Linked DNA regions of Bombyx mori. The protein of the gene in region 1 interacts with the protein of each later gene in a pairwise test. Links are inferred from orthologs where the notes say so. Each region holds a gene or a part of one and is shown in the gene's direction. Other genes may lie near its edges.

Region 1 (4,307 bases):
TTAGAGTCGAGAAGGAGTTAAAGGTTAGAGTCGAGAAGGAGTTAAAGGTTAGAGTCGAGAAGGAGTTAAAGGTTAGAGTCGAGAAGGAGTTAAAGGTTAGAGTCGAGAAGGAGTTTAGGTTAAAGAGGTCGAGAAGGAGGTTATTAAAGTAAAGAGGTTGAGAAGGCGTTTAAGGTTATTAAAGTAAAGAGGTTGAGAAGGCGTTTAAGGTTATTAAAGTAAAGAGGTTGAGAAGGCGTTTAAGGTTATTAAAGTAAAGAGGTTGAGAAGGCGTTTAAGGTTATTAAAGTAAAGAGGTTGAGAAGGCGTTTAAGGTTATTAAAGTAAAGAGGTTGAGAAGGCGTTTAAGGTTATTAAAGTAAAGAGGTTGAGAAGGCGTTTAAGGTTATTAAAGTAAAGAGGTTGAGAAGGCGTTAAAAGTTTTAAATAAACTTGAAGAGTTTATGTAGGAAGTCGAGAAGGAGTTAGACTATTATAGTTAAGGTTTTATATAGTGAGTCAAGAGAGAAGTTAAGGTTGTATGGTTGAATGAAAGTACATTTTTGATCGAATTGGAGTTGGAGAAGTAAGAAAGGATTAAAGGTAGCGACATTAAAGATAGTATTAAGTTTGAAAGGTTGAATGAATAGTTGATGGTTGAATTGAGAGGGATTATGTAGAAGTGACGGAATGTAAGTGGTTGTGAGGTTTTTTAGGTATGTATGGAAAGAATTAATTTATGAAGGTCAGGTTAGCATTATTCTTTTTTGGTACTAAGTTATAGACGGAGAAAAATGTGTGCAAGTGTTGAGGGGGTGTGTTGGAGTTTGTATATTAAATGTAATGGCAGGCAACACTTGACACTTGATTAGATTTCGAATATTGGAATTATTTTAAATGTTTTAAAAAACAGATCATTGTATTCTCGTAAGAAAATGTCAGTTACTTCTCATCTAGACACGGCATGAAAAACATGTAATAGTTTCATTAAAAAAATATAAAGATAATAATTGTATAATGGTGTAAAAGTGTTCAAGCAATCTGCAATATAATTATAATGAAGCAGTTGTGTTTTTAAATAGCCCCTCATCACCTACAGAACCCAATCCCCTCAAATTTAACCGTCCAACAGTAATTAAAGTAATTATTGTATATAAAGTAAGTATACATAAAAGAACTGAAAGTGAAAATTAAATTGAATATGGTATTAAAGAAAATAAAATAGGTTACTACAATTACGTAGAAATAAAAAACTATATAATAAAACTATTACATGGTTGTTGGACGTAATGAAGTAAAGTTATTTCTTAGTAAAACGGTGGAAATTTACTAAAGCTTCAATGGACTTCAGAGTTGAAGAACACGAGAAGTCACGTCCGGCGATTTAGTTTATTTTACGATACTTCTGCAATTTTGAAGATGCTAGAAAATTAAAAAAATAGCCATTTAAATTCGTTCCAACCTGAAGGAACATTAAACTAATAATACGAAAGAGTTTTCGAAACTTATAATGCTATGTCTAATGTGTTCGTGCCAAAAAGTCTACGTGTATAATTCTAAAAAACGTTAACTTTCTAAAAAACAAGAAAGTGGCTGTATTAACAAGCTCCCCATGCCTGATAAATTCAACTCAAAGCAATTCAACAACAGGTCAAAAAAATTGTGAATTTCAAAATAGTGAAAAGGAAATCAGTAAATACTCTCATAAAATGCAAGCATTTCTTAAGACTGGAAAGATATCTGCAGGAGACAAAGCGTCAACTTCTGGAGTTAAAACTACAAATAAGAAAAAACCTCCAGCTCCATGGGTCGAAAAATAGTAAGTACAGGAATATTACTAAAATCATCTAAATTTAAATTTTGCTGTATCATAATCTTCTTTACCAGTAGACCGAAGACAATAGACGATATAGTGGACCAAGGAGAGGTTGTTCAAGTGCTAAGGGAATGTTTATCCGGTGGAGATCTACCGCATTTACTATTTTATGGACCGCCGGGTACCGGTAAAACGAGTGCCATACTTGCCGCTGCAAAGCAACTCTTCGGAGATATCAGTCGAGACCGCGTGTTGGAATTAAATGCATCCGATGAACGCGGTATACAAGTCGTTAGAGATAAAGTTAAAGCATTTGCCCAGCTTACAGTTAGCGGAAAAAGAGCTGAGTAAGTACTCTGATTTTACCAATAATATTTGTAATATACAGCAGTAATAAGCAGACATAAGTCATAATTTCCTGCCTATTTACCTGATTAAAAAAGGCTGCCATGACCAACTGTAACTGTTAAATGAAATCCTAATGTGTTAATCCTAATTACATTTAGAAATAATAATTTATTAACAACCTTTAATTCGAAAAAAATAAATTACTATTCATTTTATTTTTCGAAACCACTCCATTTTATTAGTAGATGCATACTAGCTTATCTATATCCTTATCAATTATAATAACATACCATGACTAAACTGGTCCTTACTTGAGTGGCAGCCTCAACCACAACTACTCGATTACATGTAATTTTTTCTCCCTTCCTAATCATCCAACTTCACATGGACTGGCAGGTGAGCCCACGGGCTCAACCAGAGGGAATTGCTAACACTAGCCTTAGCAAGAGCAGTGGTTCGCTGAATCTACTACAGGATCGGACTCGCGATCCACTGAGAATATCCAGCGAGAAACTCAGTGGGTTAACAAGTTAACAAATTGATGTTACATTCGTCAAATTGATGTTACATCTGTTCGTATCAATTTAAAACTTTAAAGGGCTTGCAGTTGATGTTACTGAAACCTAATTAATTGCAACAATAAAAAGGACAATTTATTAATTATATTACCTTAGCTTGGGCCCCTAAATAAAAGATGTAATGTATGTAAAGGTGACTTGAAACCCAAATAATATTTTTATTTGTTTTCATGACTTAGACATAATAATTCATATCCTTATTAATAGCGTGATCAATTATGATTTAAATCCTAAGTGAATTATAGAGATTTATATCTCAGAATTTTTATGAATATTATTTTTTTGCTAAATTGGGTGGACGAGTTCACGGTCCACTTGGTTTAAGTGGTAACTGGAGCTCATAAACAGCAACAACATAAATTCCTCCATCCATGAGTTCTAGGTCTCAGTTTTACGGTACAACGGCTGCCACACCTGCAAACCGAAATGCTCTGGTTGGCACTTCAAAGCAAAAAAGGCAAGGGGTCGTAACTATCTGTACGGGCACACAAGACGCCCTACCACCATTAATTACGCAATTTATAATTTTTGCCAGTTTGATTATTATTACCTGATGTTCTTCCATCACCGTCAAAGTCATTCATGAACGTTTCTTAAGTATGTATTTGTCTCTTTTATGTATGTATATTTTGACCAAGATTGTATAATGGTACTGACATAAACCATTATGAGTCTGAGATTGTGAGAGTCAATTGAAAACAATTTGCTTTTTTAGGATTTAGGTCAGTTTGTTACTAAGCATGTGAATGTTCATTAATGTCCAATTTAAATCCCACAACCTTAAACCTTGACACATGAGGTCAAAGTCTTTATACTTATTTGCATATAGTAAGATAATATATTAAAATATTATTTAAAAATTGTCAAACAATATGTGCAAATTCTTAAACAAACTTAGCTCATTGAAGAGCTAAATGTTTCTCTCACCCTTAGAACTGAAATGGGTAACTACATTTTAACAAAATTAACAGGCTGTCTTTATCATGTCATGATTTAATCAAAACGTACCACTAGATTTAAGAATTAAAAATAAGTTGAAAATCCCTAATAATAATAATGGAAGGAATAAAAAAAGGGTGTGTCGTGCTATAAACTTGAGACTAAGAAAATCATTTGGCCCATTTTTTTGAATAAGAGATACATATTTGTGTGTATGTATTATATATACAATGACAAGTGCATGTTTGTATAATCAAGCAATACTGCTAAATATTACATGTTCGTATAGTGGTCGACCATGTCCCTCATACAAACTGGTCATTCTGGATGAAGCAGACTCGATGACTACAGCAGCTCAAGCGGCACTTCGACGCACTATGGAACGCGAGACTCGTACTACACGGTTCTGTCTCATCTGCAACTATGTGTCAAGGATCATACCGCCAATCACGAGTCGCTGTTCAAAATTTCGCTTTAAGCCATTAGCTAGAGAGAATGTTATTAAACGGTAAGAAGTTTGCAAAACCTCCTATTTATTTTGTTCTTTTTACCTTATTTAATTTATTGTATACCATTACAAAATTTACGCTGTGCAAATTAGCCAATAGACACAACCCACTAATTTTCTGGCCGGATCTTCCCAGTGG
Region 2 (2,882 bases), on another chromosome or scaffold:
TTACGGTATCGTTCGTTGAAGACATCCGGTTTTACTGAAATTTGGGATACTCCAATATAGAAACAAAATATAGGCCGTTAATGAAAGAGTTTACTTAAAAACCTTTTACAGCGAAACCTTGGAGCATTTAATGGAGAATTCTACATTGTTCCCAGTCGAAGTTGACCTCTCGCAGAACTGTTTTCAGTATAAATCGGCAGGTCAAATTAGTGAGGTAAGTGTTTTTAACCCACTTAAAAATGGAGCAGCTTATCCTTCTAGTTGAACCAATTTTAATAGTCCTTTTTATTTATTTGAAGACTGTTTCTACTCATGAGGTTCCATTTAAGTCTATTTAATAATGCATATTCAATTAACTTCGACTATTCTAATGATGTTCGCATTTTATTTTTTTGAAATCGGCTTAGTACAGCTGAGTAGTTAGCTGAAGTGGCAATGGACCGGCCACATTAGCCAGAGGACCTTTTTTTCTCTTACATATGCTGATAGCGTTGAGAGGCTATATCAGCTTCGCCCTAAGTTGTAGGTGAGCTCACGGGGCTCAAACTGGAAGTGTTGCTAACACTGTCCCTAGCAAGAGCAGTGCTTCGCAGAATCTACCACCCAGTGGCGGATTAAAGGTCCAGAGCGCCCTAGGCAATCACTTTATTGGGCGTCCCTGTACCGGCCATAAATGGCCATCATAATACTATAATCTTTAACTAGTTGTTTTTGCAATTACGATGACGTTGTATCATCAAACCCTAGACTTTAGTAGACCAGGACCCTTGTACTTACGCTAATGCGCAAATGAAATATGACGTTATAACTGTGAAGAAATCAAGAGGGACGACAGAACGAACATCGAAATTCATGATTACTCTCTGCTCTGGGAAATAGGCCAAATAGGAATAATCTATTATGCATTTAGATTATAGATCAGCATTTAGTCCTTAATCGTCGATATGTTATTTTCTTTATTTATTTAAAAATTCTGAGCTCGCGCGCGCGCCCCTAGGCACGTGCCTAGTTTGCCTTACGGATAATCCGCCTCTGCTACCACCGGATCGGAAACGCGACCCACTGAGAAGATCCGGCGATAAACTCAGTTGGCTATGTCTATGGGCTAATTTACTCGTCGAGCTCTTCGTCGCAAGTGACGGGTTCGGCGAGGATGGTGACTGGTGCTTGAGGTACCTAAAAGCACCGTTAATGAATCGGGAGGATTCGTAATTACGTGTTTAGGGCGACGTCGACTGTTTACCCGGAGGACCGATAACCGTTGGAGTAAACGTGTTCTTGGGTGAAAACGAATTGGTAGATGAAATGCAGGACTGGCAAGGTGAGCACACCTACACGTGGCTGGCAAGAGCTGGACGGGCAGTTGGAGAAGCCTGTGTCCAGCAGTGGACAGCTATAGGCTGATGATGATGATGATGTTGATGAGGACTAGCTTTTTTTGTTAATATTTCGTATTACTGCTAAGCCCCTACTGTCTTCCTTGTGCTGTAGTTTAATGCTAACCGCGTGGGTAGTCTGTTTATTATTGCTGATATGTAACTAACACGGATTCTGGTAATGTGATCGAAGCCGCGCTTGCCTTATTTAAAAAGAAATCGCGAAGCTCGAAGGAACATATTCATTAACCCATTGAGTTTCTCATCGAATCTTCTCAGTGGGTTGCGCTTCCGATCTGGTGGTAGATTTAGCGAAGCACTGCTCTCGCTAGGGCGAGTGTTATTAAATTCTCTCAGGTTGAGCCTGTGAGCTCACCTACAAGCGAATAGGTAAACAAAACACTTTTTTTTTAAATTGAAAAAATCTAGGACGTCCAAGATGAAGATATAGAATACGCAAAAGAAATACAAGAGTACCACGATTTGTCTGTTAACGACACGAGAGAGGCGAAGTTGATGAAGAAACGTCAGACGGACGACAATGAGCACAATGACGCTACCGAACAGCTTCTCCCGGGTATCGACACCGTTGACATTGACAGGTCCGAGAATAATGACGTTTCGGACAACTTGACACTCCTGACAGAGCTAGGGCTGGCGGACGCGGGAGCCAATGACGAATTCGGGAGCTTCCAAAACGGACTGATGGACGATTTCATGCCGAAGAGCAGCAGCGACGTCGATGACGTTTTCGATAAGCTGTTGAACGATTTGAGTATCGGAAAATAAATAGATTGAATAAAGAGAGCTTTTTTTTTAATTATGTAAACAGACCAGTCATTATTTTACTTGGTATTTAGGTTCTGCTGATACCTGTTGATGTTAATGCCGTCGTCTAACCCAAGGCATTGTTAGAAGTGCCAATTTTAATGCGTAAGTGGGATTATGCATTCAAATTGGCAAACCGATCTTTTTTTTTGCTTCGATAGTTGGACGAGCTCACAGCCCACCTGGTGCTAAGTGGTCACTGGAGCCCATAGAAATCTACAACGTAAATGCGCCACCCACCTTGAGATATAAGTTCTAAGGTCTCAGTATAGTTATAACGGCTGCCCCGCCCTTCAAACCGAAACGCATTACTGCTTCACGGCAGAAATCGGCGGGGCGGTGGTACCTACCCGTGCGGACTCACAAGAGGTCCTACCACCAGTAATTACGCCAATTATAATTTTCACGACACACGTCGAACCCCCTTATACGAGAGCTGCGGAAAAATGAGGTGCCCATATTCATCTTCAGGCCGAGGCCAAGCATTTGAAGTCTCACAGGTGAGTCGTACAAAATCGATTTTTTTTAACATCCCCTAATGACGTCACGATATTTTGTGAATTTACTTTCGTCTAGCAAAATGGATATCAAATGAAACTAATTTTAGGCTATTGTTCCTTTTATTTTAAAAAAATACAATAAATATTTTAGCAAGATCTTGAAAGTACCTAATTTTAT

What was found.
Region 2: the proteins of replication factor C4 (region 1) and PRKCA-binding protein interact in a two-hybrid assay, tested with the Caenorhabditis elegans proteins (3 studies listed by BioGRID). The link is inferred for Bombyx mori from reciprocal best matches to the Caenorhabditis elegans genes rfc-4 and Y57G11C.22.

The regions. Positions count from the first base shown.
Region 1 is NC_085121.1:12,205,023-12,209,329, forward strand, and holds the start of replication factor C4, read left to right. Parts: upstream 1-1,386; 5' UTR 1,387-1,688; coding exon 1,689-1,798; intron 1,799-1,866; coding exon 1,867-2,142; intron 2,143-3,949; coding exon 3,950-4,168; intron 4,169-4,307. UniProt on the Caenorhabditis elegans protein: The elongation of primed DNA templates by DNA polymerase delta and epsilon requires the action of the accessory proteins PCNA and activator 1. This subunit may be involved in the elongation of the multiprimed DNA template.
Region 2 is NC_085134.1:7,524,558-7,527,439, reverse strand, and holds the end of PRKCA-binding protein, read left to right. Parts: intron 1-111; coding exon 112-214; intron 215-1,805; coding exon 1,806-2,165; 3' UTR 2,166-2,179; downstream 2,180-2,882.